Pelodiscus sinensis: one gene and its partner. The protein of the gene in region 1 interacts with the protein of each later gene in a biochemical or structural test. Links are inferred from orthologs where the notes say so. Each region holds a gene or a part of one and is shown in the gene's direction. Other genes may lie near its edges.

Region 1 (8,269 bases):
GGAGCGCAGGGACAGGTGAACCTGAATCTGCCCCAGCCAGGGAACATGTACCCTTGGTGTAGCTGTAGCAGCCAGGGAGAGGCATTTCTGGCCATAACCTGCTGCAGTGAGAGTGAGGGTTGGGGTTGTCCTCTCTACCTGGAGCAGCCTGCATATTGAACCTCTCATCCCCAATCCCACTCCAGAACAATAATTTAAATTAAGAGAACAAAAATTATTTGAGTTAAAGACCTGAGCAACACTGGGTAAATCTTCTAGTAAAAAGATTAGGTCCGTCAATTAACACGCATTAATGCCTGCGATTAACGCAGAGCACAATTAATGCATTTTTTTTAACGCATTAATCACAGACATTTCTGCGGCGCTGCCCGTTTGAAATGCCACCAACGCAGGAAGGGCCTGGGATCAGCTGAAGTCCCCAGCTGACCTTGGACTCCAGGCAGCACTGCCCCTTTGAAATGCCACTCCGTTTCAACAGAGCAGCACCTAGGGTCAGCTGTGCGGCACTGCCCTTCTGAAGGCCAATGTAGCCCAGGATCAGCTGGGAACTCCAGTTGATCCCAGGCTCCCATGGCACTGCCCCTTTGAAACGCCGGGGCAGCACTTCAAAGGGGCAGCGCTGCATGGAGCTGGCATCAGCTGGGGAGTCTAGCTGATCCTGGGCTCTCGCAGAGCTGCTGCTGCCCCTTTGAAACACCGCGGTGGCAGCATTACCAAGGGGCAGTGCTGCACAGAGCCAAGGTCATCTCTCGGGATCCGTGCCGTCACTGCTGCATTTCAAAGGAGCAGCGTGAGCAGAGCCTGGAATCAGCTGGGGATTCCAGATAATCCCAGGCTTCCACAGCACTGCCCCTTTGAAACACCGCCGCAGCATTTCAAAGGGGCAGCACACGCGATTAATCATGTGATTAACCACAATTCATTTTTAAAATTGCTTGACAGTCCTAATACTAAATATATCAAGAGTCGCTCATCAGTCTTTCAGGGCCCTAATACCTCTCATTGTATATATTTCCTTTAGGAGCTGTGGTAACCCTCCCCATCATTTAGAACACAATCATATATAAACCATTCATAAATTTAATAAATGGTCCCCCAAAATACTGCATGGGGTTGCAATATTAGTCACAAAGATGTTGTTTTATGAGATATTGAATAAAGCTGAAACTATGATAACAGATTCATCTATGTTGCTGGTATGCTCTCACCTTGTATGCAGTGTTCTGTTTTGGTCAAACCATCTAAAAAAACAGAAGACACACAGAGTGGGTCAACTAAATGGAAGGATTTCTGTACAAGAACAGATTATAAAGTCTGGCACTACATACTTTAGGGAGTAAGAGGAGATATGATAGAGATATACAGCATTATCAATGGTATACCAAGGTTTATCACAAATGCATATTTACTCTCTCTTACAAAGCAAGAAAGTGATGGTAATGAAAATAAAAAGCAACGCATTTAAAACAACACCCTCAATTTTTAAAAGTGACTAATTATCATGAGTACCTCAGTGTTTGGGTGCCCAATTTAAGACACTTTAAAGGAATCTGATATTCAAAGAAGATATGTTCTTCATCACTTCCTGAACACTAGACTCTCCTTAAGGAGTCTTCCAGTCAGACACCCAAAATCCCTAGTCATTTTGAAAATTCAGGCCAATAAATGGAGTCACCATTATATGCAAGATATACTTAAGCTATGGAACTCAGATACTGAGGCAAAGAGCTTGGTGGGAATCACAATAGTATTAGGTATCTCTGTAGTTAATAATTGTATCATTTGCAGATATACTTGCTAGGATAAATATATACAGGGAAAAGGAGATATAAAGCCTCATGATTTAGAACAAAAGCCTACCACTATTCTGATTGGAGTTAGGAAGAAACCCTAGAGGTATATTATTGCTTGATTCTGATTATGAAGGTTTTACACTTTCCTCTAAAGTATCTGGTACTATTCACCTGCAGAGGTAGGATACTAGCTGAGGTCCATTTTTATGCGCTGCTATCGCAATTTCTGTAGTCCAGCCTCATAACATTTTCTATTTATTCTGTGGTTTTTCTCAAGATACATATTGGAAGGTACTGCCCTCAGGTCATATGGCAAAAATCATTGTCATTGGGAGAGATACGTAGAGAATAAATGCAGTATACATACCCAAGAATTCCTACAATTAAATGACAGCTTCACATTTTTAGTATATAGTATTCAGACCCTGGAGAGACTCTTGCAACTCCCTTTAGTGCTCTGAAAGATGAGTCAGACTTCCTCTTCTGAAGGAAGATTACTATAATGCTAGGCCTTAAGGGCTGTGGCTGCTATGCTCTCAATATGCAGAGAGATTTTGATCAGTTATCCTGGGATCTTGCAGATCCACTTGCTATAATCTACCCATCCCCCAGACTTGCTGCAAACACTTTTGCACCATGCCGGGCCCTGTGCAAGCAGTGTGGTGAGCACACAGCATGTTTCCGGCATATGTTCCTTATAACTGGCCATTGTACCACCATTCTGCTGCCTTATTGTCCCTTATTCACTTACAGGTCCTCATCCACTAAGAAGTTGTTCAGTGGAAGCAAAGAGGATTTGACCCCTGTGTCATTGTTCACTTGTTTCTTGGTTAGCATTTTTATATACATGGTAACTGCAAACTAGTGCCTATCAACTGTATCTTTATGTTGCTAAATTCATTGCCAACATATACATAAACCAGGGACCCTAAAACATGTTATTACATTTTAAATCCATTTCAGTTTACTAAAAAATGATTTTTCTGAAATATGTGTTTTTTATTAAAAATAGGATTGTAGAATTTAATTTAAAACTTGTCCATCTTTATTTTAATTTTGTTTGCAAGGTAAACGAAACATATTTTCAAAAATCAACTGAGCTGCAGGGACTATTTTTTTAGTCTGTCAAAAAAATTGCTGAACAAATCAGCACAAGTAAATATATTTTTAAAATTGTGAAACAATGAGAATTATTTTATTCAAAATCTAGAAGTCACTGTTTTGATCATTAAATTTTAATTTTCAGAGCTTGTGATGAGCATAGCTTAATTAAGACTGTCAACATGTATGAGCAGCTGCACATGTGAGCACAACATACTTTTCAAAATATATGCCAACAGGTGCTGGAAAGAGCATCACACATGAAGCTGGCAGGTGAAAGAGGATATGGAGCAAGACAGGATCCTTCTCCATTATAGCTAATTTTAAATGGGGTGGGAATAGGGCAAAATGCAGCTAAAACATCAAGGATGGATGAAAGCTAGGATCCATATCATGTATCAGTCCATAATGTGCCATTGCTCTGTAATGGTTTGACTTAAGGTCTAGTAGTACAAATATACAAGGGGTTTGGAGTTTGGCAAAATCACACAATGGATAACCTCAAAGTTACACCTACAGAAATAAAAAGTAAAACAGATTAATCTATTTACATTTTAGAATCCTAGGTTCCTGGAAGCAAGGGAAGGAACCTACCCATTTTATTTAGTATAATGATTGTTACAATCTCCCCTCCCCCATTGTTCTTCAGCTCAACATATGAACTCCTTGGCATGAACAGTTATAAGGAACGCCTTGAAGACCTTGGGAAACTTTTATTCCCCAAATTTACATTGCCATCGGAAGGGAGAAAGGTTCCGCCTCTTTCCCCTCCTGGGAATTATTCTTTCACTCTTAAACTCTTTGCAAAGTCATCTCTTCCTGGAATAGCATGAAGGTTTATAACAAAATGGATTTTAAAAAAGGAATGAAAAGTAAATACAAAAATATGTTACCCTCCCCAGCCCTGCCCTATAGGACAAATACAAAAAAGAGTGTTCCTTGCGGCCATTTGGTGTGCAAAAGTACTTGTTCCTCCTTCTACTACTGCTATTGGATGGTGGTGCTCGTCTTTGTGTGAAAGCCTGTTCAGTGGGTTTGAAGGTTTATTGCCCTGGGATTTTCCTTTCTGTCTGTAACATATTCCTCTGTCTCGTGGGTTGGAGAGAGGGAGGGAGAGAGAGGGAAGGTCCGCCATATTTCTGCCTTACCACGCCCGGGGAACTGAGCCATTGAAAAGTCAGGCTGGCTGGATACATATTGTGCATGCACCACAGCTCCTGCTTCCCTCCTCTTCTCTCACATTGTCCCCTCTCGCTTCCTCACAGAAAGGGAAAGGCAGGAACACGACGAACAGCTCTGCAACAGCTGCTTTGCAAGCCACAAGCAAGTAGCTCTCCCCCCGCCCCCCCTTCAGCCTCAAAGAAAGCCGGGAAGAAAAGTCCACTTGCAAGAAAACCTTAAGCAAAGCAAACTCCAAGAGATTTTCAAGCGGCAACAAGCAAAAACCACCTCCTGGAGCATCTGGTCTTCAAAGTCAGGGAGGGGGGAAGAGAAACAAGAAAATGTGCGTGTGGAGGGGGGGAGGGGTTAGTCGCGATTAGCATTTCAGTAGGGGGCTGGCTGCTTGGGAGGGAGCTGAGGGGGGATTTCAGCGGGTGTCATTTACAAGGGACTGAGGTGACCGCAGGCGGCAGCGAGGGAAAAGAGGGGGCGTTGGGCTGCTCCTCTCTGCTGGGCACTGCTGCTCCGGTGGATGTTTCCCTGTTGTTTGGTGCATGATTTAGAGAAGAGGAGGAGTTGGAACTAGAGGGTGTCAGAGGCAGGAGATAGTGGGGTTGCGCTGCTGCCACCGCCGCCGGTGGGGGCCCTTTCTCTGCCTCTGCTCGCTGGGTGTAGCATCTAGCGCTCTCCCGGCGTCGGCTGGGCTGTCCCCGGGTGGGGGCTCGCAGGCAGAGGGCGCGTGCCTCCCTCGCTCCGCGGTGCGGGGTGTGAGTGTGTGTGAGTGTGAGTGAGAGTTTTCGGGGGGTGGGGGTTGTGTCTGAACCAGTTAGGAAGAATGACTCTGGAGTCCATCATGGCGTGCTGCCTGAGCGAGGAAGCCAAGGAAGCCAGGCGTATCAACGATGAGATCGAGAGGCAGCTCCGCCGGGACAAGCGGGACGCCCGCCGGGAGCTCAAGCTGCTGCTGCTGGGTAAGTCCGGGCAGGCGCCGCCTTCACCCCAACCCGGGCAGCTGCCCCGGTGCCGCGCCGCCCCTGCTGCTCACACACATACTGGGTGCCAGGGGGCATTGGGGAGTGCAGCTTTGCCCGTGCATGTAGGCACCTATGCAGTCGATATGCCGGTGTGTGGATCCCGAGTGGATATTGTATCCGCGCCTTGATCAGTCTTAAGGGAAAGGGAGTCTGGCTATGGGTGCAGGGGAAGGGAGGGAGGACGCGATTTACACTCAGTTTCCCTGCTTTCGCTCCGCGGGGGCTTCCAATCTGCATGATTCTGTTTATTCGGACTCTGATGATAGTGGAGCGGATACATTTGTGTGTGTGTGTGTGTGTGTGCGTGCGCCCAGATAGCTATAATACACGGTGTTACATGGTGTATATTTGGTGGCATGTTTTGCAAATGAAAATGTAGCTGGGTAAATACATGATTCTGGTTCCTGAAGGCAATTTGATGTGGAATGGACACTGGCCTTCCAAAAATGGAGCGGGGAGAGGACTTGGTGGGTGATAGAGAGATGAAAAGAGAACATAAATGGCAAATACATTTGGGGGTGGGTGTAAGGGAAAATTGCAAGGCAGCAGCTAAATGAAAGGACTCACAGGCGGAGTTGCTTTGCAGATTGATGGTGGCAAGCTTTAATGTCTGCATTGTTCTGAGAGCCTTCCGAAAGATTGCAGGGTGGCTGATTGCTTCATTAAATAAAAATAACACTAAAACATGGAAACGGAGATGAAGGGTTACATTCAGATTATAGGCTAATTTTTTACAATAACAGCACCACCATACAAAGACCATGAAACTGAATAATAACCTACAGTATGTTAGAGAATGACAGGATCTGGAGTATCTTCGGAATCCACCCACTGGATAAGAAATACAATTTACCATATACAACAGAATTTCCTCTTAATTTCGGCAGTTTCTGTACAATAACTGTAATTATATTACAGTTATTGTACAGAAACTAGTGTGTCCCTATTTGACTTTGTATCTGCTAAAATAATACTTTTGAATTAGAAATAATACAATTATTTGGTCATAAGATTTTTTTTAATACACAGTTATCATGGTAGATGTAGTTAATGCTTTGGACTAACAGTGCCTAAAAATGTCTGCACAAGAGCCTGATGTGCGTGTATGTGGGGTTATAAAACTGAATACATCACATGCAAAAGATGTGTATTGTCTGCTTTAGTGCAAATGTACTATCTTGTTTTATACATAAAGGTTGTTATTGATATGGGTTTAAATATGTTAAAGCTGGTTCAAAATATGCAAACATGAGAATGACTTTGTATGACCATATTCTTTTAAATTAATTTGCAGTTTTCCTTCAGTAACACATTTTCTCTTCGGAAGTTGGAATAATGGGTGTGGAGGAATGATCAGGAGAGAGAGAGAGAGATAAAAATTGCTTTGCGTATATGATTTTGGCCTAGTTTTGCACATTGTGATTATTTTAGAATTCAAGACAAGATGTGAATTACAAATTATATAGCTTGCATTTGCTTTAGTTTATGGACACTGACTTAACAGATTCAAGAAGTATTTTTTATCATATTTGGCTTGTCGTACAAGTCCACATGATTTCTGCATTTTCCTTATTTCTGGCAATAATGCTACAGGATTTTGCCCAAGGTTCTACGAAAGTGTGAAGTTTATTAGGGGTGTTTTCTGTGTGCTCCCAGAATGGGGACAAGGGAACTTAAATATATTAATTTATATAATTTCAAAGATTTAGGCCCCAATACTGTTGTCAGTCATGCTCATGCTTAACTTAATGAATGAGTAGTGTCATTGATTTTAGTGGAGTCCATTCACTTGTAAAGTTAAGTAAGTGTATAACTCATGGCAGACTTAGTGCCTAATTTTGGCATTGCTTTAGTTTAGGCCAAGTGAAAGGTGGGTAGTTTCAGTGCAAATAGATGGGTCAGGAGAGCTCTTAATTTATAGAACTATTGAGAAAGCTCAGGGTTTTTCTGTGTAGGTACAACAGTGCAAACCTTCAATGTTGATGTGCTGCATTAGTGTAATGTGAGTTTGCACTGGTGTGGTTTACTCGCAACGGAGAGAAGTGGTCCTGATGCAATACTTGCTTTATACAAAGTAACCCATCTCCAGTGCTCATATGCACAACTGTAACAATCCCACTCCAGAAATTCCTATTGTATACAAGCTGTCACTATTCTACTTTCAAAAGAGTACACTCTAATTAAAGGAGATTGTCAACTTAAAAATCATGCTCCTTACTGTTAATGATGTGTACTGGTGTCACAATTAACACCTATGGTTCTGATTCTACAGGGAGCTCTGTGAAGGCAAACTCCACTTGAAGTCACTGGGTCTCAGGGCAGAGACAGTGATTTGCCTGCACAGAGCTGCTTCCAGGACCCAAATATAAAATTAGTGTACTGAAATAATTTGGAGAGGGGGATATTTTTCAGTTGGCTTGTGTATTTGACAGCAGTTTGCGTTTAGTCACTCCCACTGCTATAGTCTGTTCTTCAGTTTTCCCTGTTGTTTGTGTGGGTCTTTTGTACAACAAGGTGCAAGAGACATTTTAAAAAATCAGAAAAATCATTGTAAAGTCATAAAACTGGTGAGATTCAGAGAGGTGCAATATCTGAAAGTACATCTGTGACCCAGCATGAATTTAGTTAGCTGGATATCCACTTATCATGGGTGTAGCCAAGTTTTCCATGGTCCCATAAAGTTTGTGTACAACCTTGGCTCTCAGTGTTTTCAGTCCCAGTAAGCAGTAGAAGTGTTGGTAATGCTGCTAGACAATATTGACCTCCCGTGGTTTGGAACTGGTCAGGGTGCTGAGCTAGAGAGATTCAACCTATAGTACTTCATTTTATTTTATGTAGGCTTTGAGTAAAATTGTCAAAAGCTACTTAGATTCACCCTCAGTGCCTAAGTCATTTAAGCTTCAATTCCATTTATAACAGTACCCTGGGAATTAGGAGTCTAAGTGGATTAGTTACTTTTGAAAATGGCACTTGTGCTCCTGAGTAGCCTAGCATGAAATTTTCTAAAGTGCCTTTTTTCTGTAAGTATTTCTTCATATAAAATGGTATGAATTTCTGTAATAGGTATTGTGCTCACCGGAAACTGTCAGAACAGCCCATTGTTTTGACTTCGTTTCTGTCTTATGAACACACACACACAGTAGGTGTGTGGTCTATTTTTTTCTGTTTTTTTTTCTATGT
Region 2 (8,426 bases), on another chromosome or scaffold:
ACACCTCACTTCCCTCAGTCCTTTATTCCCAAGCTGAGGTGTCTGCTGAGAAAAGCCGCTCTGCGTCTCCCTGGTCTGCTGGGGGGGGGGAGAGGGCGCGCTAGCTTCGCGTCTCCCTGGTCTGCTGGGGGGAAGCAGCTAGTGTGGGGTTGCCTCACCCCGTTTGTAAGTAGGGATCCGATGTAAGTCGGATCCATGTAACCCGGGGACTGCCTGTATTAGCTCAGGTGAATAGTTTATTTCTCTCTTGTTGAGAAGAAGAGACACAGAAGTCTCTCATGGATAGCCAGTTAGGCAATGGAAGGACCAGGATGGCTATTCATTATTCTGCATGGAGATTCACACATGATGAAACTCCTTCATGTGTGACATCCCTACAGGTGAATTCCGTAGCTTGCTGGGAATGTGAGAGTTTAAGTGATTGTGGATGATCATTCTACTACCCCGACTTTCACCTCATAATTTTGTTTTGCAAGCTCAAACTCGTCATCTATCACACACTATATGCTGGGGTGAAAGACAATCTCAGCTAACGGTACTCTTCTGGATTTACACTGGTGCATCTGAAAACACAGTTTGTTATCATCTCTCCTAAATCGTAGCAAATCAACAGAAATTAAAATACTGCAGTGAGCGAGCCAACTTGTATCCTGATTCATGTGACGTTCATTCTTGAAAGCAAGCTTGATTCGAATAAAAAATAAGATCAAATGGATTCATTGGGAGTGGAACATTGATAATAGTCTGCATAGACTATCACAAAAGGACAGATTTGACTTCCACAGAAGTCAGTGAAAAGTATCCCATTGAAGTTAATGAAAGTTGGAGCAAGCCCAAGGTTTTAACTAGAAGATTTACCCACTGCTGCTCAGGTCCTTAAATAAGGTTTATTAGGGATGAGGGGATTCAGTAGGCAGGCTTCCCTGGGAAGAGGACAGCCTCAGCTCTCTCTCACTGCAGTAGCTCAGGGCAAGATGAGAAGCGTCTGTCCGTGGCAGCTGCAGTGGACACAGCTGGGTGTGGGATGCATGTCCCCTGGCTGGGGGGACCCAGACACAGAAACAAAGGTTGTCTAGACTATCACTTTGAAAAGCAATGCCGCGTCCAAGGAACGCATCCACTTTTCCGAAAGAAAATTTAGAAAAAGTGGACGCGCTCTTTTTCCTTCCCTGTAAACCTTGTTCTAGGAGGCATAAGGGATGTGTCAAAAGAGCACTTCTTTCCCGAAATTTGGCACCATGTAGACACGCCAAATTTTGGAAAAGCTGCTTTCGAAAGTAAATCGGAAAAAGAGACACAATTTGCAATTTAACTCTGCTGTCGAGACATAACCAAACTGACACACAAACAGACAAACTCTCTAAAATATATAGTAGATAGCAGTCCCTTTCTCCACCCTTGTCCCCCAATGGGTTTACAGCTGTCCCAGTCTCCATTCTATGGCCCGTTGCTGCCCCCTGTGGACATTCTAGAGAATAACTGTCCATCCTACCAGACTCCTCCCTTTCCATGTTATGAGAAACAATTGATTTCCAGGCTCATCCCATTGTCCTGGCACAACCAACCCCTGACCTTGCTTTAAGTTATGATAAGAGGAAGGTTGGTATGATAATGATGGCCCTAGTTCTTACCATTTAGGAGGAGTTCTTGAACAAACAGACTCACAGATGGGCGGACAGACAGACGTTGTGGCGGGATGTACCATCCCTGCCCTGGGGCTGCGAGGGTTAAGCTGGATACCTGGCTGAGAAGGCCCTGCCCCCACAGTCTTGCCGGGCATGCTCCAGTTGGAGGCCAGCTATGAAGGCCTATGAAGCAACTCAGTCTGGGCTGCCAGCTGCCAGAGAAGGAGGTTTCGCAGGAGCTCCTGAAGGAGAAGCACTGGTGCACTCAGACACTATCACTAGTCAGAAGGGAACTGCAGCAGCAGCAGCCCCGAGGCTGGAGGAAAGAGATGGAGAAGACTATGCAGGAAAGGGGGTACGAAGTAGCCCAGGGCGGGGAGCTTTATCCCGAGTGCCCTGCATGTTTCGGGAGGATTCCCTGCTGTGGTGATCCACTCCATCACTGATTGGGCCCTGAGCTGGTACCCAGTGGAGAGGGTGGGCCTGGGTCCCCCATCCCCTCCTCACCAACCCCACGGAGTTCAACTCTTCCCGTTACTACGGACTGGCTGCTAGGCCAGTGGGAAGGGAACCCTACTGTTAACTCTGGCCTTTAGCCCACGCTGTTCTGCAGGGAGTGCTACTATTGACTCTGAGCATTAGATCTGACCATGCTATGGAGACAGGGTGTTATTGGGACACTGGCCATTAGGCCTGACTGTCTTGAGGAACAAGGCTGTTCATATTGACTGTGGCTGTTAGGACACGCCGATTGCGAAGGCCTCAGAGGGCCCCTGCGGCAGATTTTAGTTCCTAGATTATCTTCTTGCTATATATTTTAGAAATATACAACAGACAAATGAGTAAATTATTATCTTTTTGTAACTTATTTGTAAAAAGTCTCTAAAACCAAATACCTACACCAAACGAATGGTGTGAAGCAGCACTCCTCGACCCCCCCCCAATTTATTTATTTTTTTCCCAAAGGCTGCTCCCTCTGCATAGTTTGCATTGGCCAAGTCAGAACAAGTTTGACCAGCTGCCTTTAAACCTTAAGAGGTTCAAGCAGAAACCTCTACAGGGAAATCAGGACTCTTACGTGCTGCATCATCAGACACTTTATCTGTGCAGCGACTCTTCAACAGATGGAAGGTCACTGCTAGAGCATGTTTGATTTCGTTCTTCAAACCCTTTTTCTTCAAAACTGCTTGCTTTGGGATGTCACTAGACTGTTAGTGCCCTTTCGGTGTTAACATGAATTGAGAAAAGGATACTTACAATGGACTTAAGGTCATATGGCTTTATTCCAGGCCCACTGAGAGCAATTCTGGGATCCAGGGCAGGACAGTCAAAGGGCCCCAATGCACGCACAAGTGCGGACACAGTTTGCCAGACAGTTGTGCAGTGCTGTGTCTGTGCAGGCTGGTGCCCTCTGAGCTGTTGGCCATGTTGCGGGGCATGCACTTGTGGTATGGCCAGAATGTACACATGCCTGTCCATCTGCCCTCACCACCACTGGTACCAGCCCCTGCCTGTCTAGGAGGCCGGCAGGCCACCCACGCAATTTAAAAGGGGCTGGAGCTCACGGATGCTGCTACGTAATGATGGCCATAGTGGGTCAGATCAAAGGCCCATCTAGCCCAGTAGCCTGTCCTCTGACAGTGGCCAATGCCAGGTGCCCCAGAAAGAATGAACAGAATTGGGAATCATCAAGTGATCCCTCCCCTTTCGCTCATTCCCAACTTCTGACAAACAGAGATACAGACACCATTCCTACCCTATCCTGGCTAATAGCCATTGATGGACCTATCTTCCGTGAATTTATCTAGCTTGTTTTTGAATCCTGTTAAAGTCCTGGCCTTCACAACATCCTCTAGCAAGGAGTTCCACAGGTTGCCAATGCGCTGCATGAAGAAATGCCAGCCCGAGCTGGCTGGTGTAAAAGGGTGTGGATCTCCCAACTCCTGCTGCTGGTCCCACAATAGTGACGGTGGCTGAAGGGCCCTCCCCCGGCCCTTTTAAATTGCCCAGAAGCCCGGGTAATTGCCCCCCTGCCTATCCCTCCCCATCAGTGGGCGTGCTTTATTCCCAGAAAACCTCTGAGGATGAAGAGAACATACAACTTTCTAAACCCCTCTTTCTTTTACGATGTTGTGGCTATGAGGTTATAAACAGAGCTTGGATGGAGTTGATGGTGATGATGGTCTTTCATCACCTCCTTTGTCAGTTTCCGGACTAATGACTCCCCGCCTCCTTGTCTGTACAGTCACATTCCCCCAAGCCCATCCTCCACTCCTTCTGCACTTTATTCTCTCTGAAGAGGTCTCTTGAGCCACCGAACACCCGGCCTGTCCCACTGCACCTGGAGAGCAAGTGGGAGCCAGCTTTTACCCCTGGGCTCTGTGTCCCGTCGGCCAGGGCATACGAGAAATACAAACACACGCCTGGCGTGGCCGTCTGCGGCTGGGCTCTTGTCTGTCCTTTGGCTGCTGCCCAGTGGGGTGTCTCTTGGGGACACTGGTGCCCGGTGAAAGGAGGACAGACGCGGGGGGCGTCACCTGCTGTAAGAATTGGGAGGGGTGGGTGAGATTCTGTGGGGGGTCAGACTAGATGATCATAATGGTCCCTTCTGACCTTAAAGTCTATGAGAATCCCGGGTGGAATCTAGCCTGGGGCTGGAGTCCCAAGGGGGTTTTGCCGTCCGGGGCCAGGATTTCACCCTTCCTGCTTCGCAGCCAAAGCCTCGGTCACCTGCTCTGCCTGTTGGCCCTGCCCCCAGCTGCCTGCGGGGGCCGTGGAAACTGAGGCAAGAGGAAGCGCTGCAGCTGTGCTGATCCCCCTCCCCCCCCCCCCTCCAGCTTCGTGATAGAGATGTAGCCGTGTTAGTCTGGGGTAGTTGAAGCAAAATGCAGGAGAATAGTGATAGAGATGTAGCCGTGTTAGTCTGGGGAACTTTGTCTCGCCTTGCAGAGCGAGGACTCCCCCCCGCCCCCCCGCGCTGCAGCGGCTTCGCGGGGCCGGTAGGGGCCGCTGCCGCCTCGCTGGCAGGCCGGTGACCTAGCGCGGAGGAAAGTTGGGGGCCGAGTCAGCTGGGGAGGAGGCGGAGGGCGGCAGCGCGAGCGCGGCGGGCGCGCGTGTATATAGGATGCGCCGCCGCCGCTGCATGGCTCGGAGCGCCCGCCGCTGAGTCCCGCCGCGCCCCGGCTGCAGCCCGCCCGGCGCTGCCTCCATGCGCTGCCCATGGCCGGGGCACAGCCAGGCGTCCACGCGCTGCAGCTCAAGCCCGTCTGCGTCTCCGACCTGCTCACCAAGGGCACCAAATTCGTCAAGTGGGACGATGTGAGTCCGGGCTCCCCCCTCCTCCTCGGGCACGGCAGCGCCCCCCTCTCCCACGCGTGTCACCCCCCCCTCCCCGGGCACGGCAGCGCCCCCCTCTCCCACGCGTGTCACCCCCCCTCCCCGGGCACGGCAGCGCCCCCTCTGCCACGCGTGTCACCCCCCTTCCCGGGCACGGCAGCGCCCCCCTCTGCCACGCGTGTCACCCCCCCTCCCCGGGCACGGCAGCGCCCCCCTCTCCCACGCGTGTCACCCCCCCTTCCCGGGCACGGCAGCGCCCCCTCTCCCACGCGTGTCCCCCCCTTCCCGGGCACGGCAGCGCCCCCTCTCCCACGCGTGTCACCCCCCCCCTCCCCGGGCACGGCAGCGCCCCCCTCTCCCACGCGTGTCCTCCCCTTCCCGGGCACGGCAGCGCCCCCTCTCCCACGCGTGTCACCCCCCCTTCCCGGGCACGGCAGCGCCCCCCTCTCCCACGCGTGTCACCCCCCCCTTCCCGGGCACGGCAGCGCCCCCCTCTCCCACGCGTGTCACCCCCCCCTTCCCGGGCACGGCAGCGCCCCCTCTCCCACGCGTGTCACCCCCCCTTCCCGGGCACGGCAGCGCCCCCTCTCCCACGCGTGTCACCCCCCCTTCCCGGGCACGGCAGCGCCCCCCTCTCCCACGCGTGTCACCCCCCTTCCCGGGCACGGCAGCGCCCCCCTCTCCCACGCGTGTCACCCCCCCTTCCCGGGCACGGCAGCGCCCCCTCTGCCACGCGTGTCACCCCCCCCTCCCCGGGCACGGCAGCGCCCCCTCTCCCACGCGTGTCCCCCCCTCCCCGGGCACGGCAGCGCCCCCCTCTCCCACGCGTGTCACCCCCCCCTCCCCGGGCACGGCAGCGCCCCCTCTGCCACGCGTGTCACCCCCCCTCCCCGGGCACGGCAGCGCCCCCTCTCCCACGCGTGTCCCCCCCTTCCCGGGCATGGCAGCGCCCCCTCTCCCACGCGTGTCACCCCCCTTCCCGGGCACGGCAGCGCCCCCCTCTGCCACGCGTGTCACCCCCCCTTCCCGGGCACGGCAGCGCCCCCCTCTGCCACGCGTGTCACCCCCCCTTCCCGGGCACGGCAGCGCCCCCCTCTGCCACGCGTGTCACCCCCCCTTCCCGGGCACGGCAGCGCCCCCCTCTCCCACGCGTGTCACCCCCCTTCCCGGGCACGGCAGCGCCCCCTCTGCCACGCGTGTCACCCCCCTTCCCGGGCACGGCAGCGCCCCCCTCTCCCACGCGTGTCACCCCCCTTCCCGGGCACGGCAGCGCCCCCCTCTCCCACGCGTGTCACCCCCCCTCCCCGGGCACGGCAGCGCCCCCCTCTCCCACGCGTGTCACCCCCCCCTCCCCGGGCACGGCAGCGCCCCCTCTCCCACGCGTGTCACCCCCCCTCCCCGGGCACGGCAGCGCCCCCCTCTGCCACGCGTGTCCCCCCCTCCCCGGGCACGGCAGCGCCCCCTCTGCCACGCGTGTCACCCCCCCTCCCCGGGCACGGCAGCGCCCCCCTCTCCCACGCGTGTCACCCCCCCTCCCCGGGCACGGCAGCGCCCCCTCTGCCACGCGTGTCCCCCCCTTCCCGGGCACGGCAGCGCCCCCTCTGCCACGCGTGTCACTCCCCCCTTCCCGGGCAGGGCAGCGCCCCCTCTCCCACGCGTGTCACCCCCCCCCCCCGGGCACGGCAGCGCCCCCTCTCCCACGCGTGTCACCCCCCCTCCCGGGCACGGCAGCGCTCCCCTCTGCCACGCGTGTCAGCCCCCCCTCCCCGGGCACGGCAGCGCTCCCCTCTCCCACGCGTGTCACCCCCCCTCCCCGGGCACGGCAGCGCTCCCCTCTCCCACGCGTGTCACCCCCCCCTCCCCGGGCACGGCAGCGCTCCCCTCTCCCACGCGTGTCACCCCCCCCTCCCCGGGCACGGCAGCGCCCCCCTCTCCCACGCGTGTCACCCCCCCCCTCCCCGGGCACGGCAGCGCCCCCCTCTCCCACGCGTGTCACCCCCCCCTCCCCGGGCACGGCAGCGCCCCCCTCTCCCACGCGTGTCACCCCCCCTCCCCGGGCACGGCAGCGCCCCCCTCTCCCACGCGTGTCACCCCCCCCTCCCCGGGCACGGCAGCGCCCCCCTCTCCCACGCGTGTCACCCCCCCCTCCCCGGGCACGGCAGCGCTCCCCTCTCCCACGCGTGTCACCCCCCCCTTCCCGGGCACGGCAGCGCCCCCTCTCCCACGCGTGTCACCCCCCCTCCCCGGGCACGGCAGCGCCCCCCTCTGCCACGCGTGTCACCCCCCCTCCCCGGGCACGGCAGCGCCCCCTCTCCCACGCGTGTCACCCCCCCCTCCCCGGGCACGGCAGCGCCCCCCTCTCCCACGCGTGTCACCCTCCCCCCCGGGCACGGCAGCGCCCCCCTCTGCCACGCGTGTCACCCCCCCTTCCCGGGCACGGCAGCGCCCCCCTCTCCCACGCGTGTCACCCCCCCCCTTCCCGGGCACGGCAGCGTCCCCCTCTCCCATGCGTGTCCCTCTCTCCCACGCGTGTCTCCCCCCCTTCCCAGGCACGGCAGCGCCCCCCTCTCCCACGCGTGTCGTCCCCTCCTTCCCCGGGCACAGCAGCGCCCCCCTCTCCCACGCGTGTCACCCCCCCTTCCCGGGCACGGCAGCGCCCCCTCTCCCACGCGTGTCACCCCCCCTTCCCGGGCACGGCAGCGCCCCCTCTCCCACGCGTGTCACCCCCCCCTTCCCGGGCACGGCAGCGTCCCCCTCTCCCATGCGTGTCCCTCTCTCCCACGCGTGTCTCCCCCCCTTCCCAGGCACGGCAGCGCCCCCTCTCCCACGCGTGTCGTCCCCTCCTTCCCCGGGCACAGCAGCGCCCCCCTCTCCCACGCGTGTCACCCCCCCTTCCCGGGCACGGCAGCGCCCCTTCTCCCACGCGTGTCACCCCCCCCCTTCCCGGACACGGCAGCGCCCCCTCTCCCACGAGTGTCACCCCCCCCTTCCCAGGCACGGCAGCGCCCCCTCTCCCACGCGTGTCACCCCCCTTCCCGGGCACGGCAGCGTCCCCCTCTCCCATGCGTGTCCCTCTCTCCCACGCGTGTCTCCCCTTCCCGGGCACGGCAGCTCCCCCCTCTCCCACGCGTGTCCCCCTCTCCCACGCGTGTCCCCCCCCCTTCCCAGGCATGGCAGCGCCCCCCTCTCCCACGCGTGTCGTCCCCTCCTTCCCCGGGCACGGCAGCGCCCCCTCTCCCACGCGTGTCACCCCCCTGCCCGGGCACTGCAGCGTCCCCCTCTCCCATGCATGTCCCTCTCTCCCACGAGTGTCCCCCCTTCCCGGGCTGGTGTGTGTGTTGCCTCCAAGTGAATGGCAGAGGGTGGAGGGAATATGTAGTCCAGGAATCCACCCAGGTGCAAACATGCAATCCACCCAGACATATGAAAAAGTTGGAGGAGTAATCTATTCCCTGGGAGGAAAAG

Evidence for each region.
Region 2: the proteins of guanine nucleotide-binding protein G(q) subunit alpha (region 1) and PLCB1 form a complex in vitro, tested with the Homo sapiens proteins (2 studies listed by BioGRID, with this or other methods). The link is inferred for Pelodiscus sinensis from reciprocal best matches to the Homo sapiens genes GNAQ and PLCB1.

The regions. Positions count from the first base shown.
Region 1 is NC_134716.1:37,303,352-37,311,620, reverse strand, and holds the start of guanine nucleotide-binding protein G(q) subunit alpha, read left to right. Parts: upstream 1-4,504; 5' UTR 4,505-4,890; coding exon 4,891-5,026; intron 5,027-8,269.
Region 2 is NC_134713.1:191,612,524-191,620,949, reverse strand, and holds the start of PLCB1 (1-phosphatidylinositol 4,5-bisphosphate phosphodiesterase beta-1), read left to right. Parts: upstream 1-4,677; 5' UTR 4,678-4,844; coding exon 4,845-4,943; intron 4,944-8,426.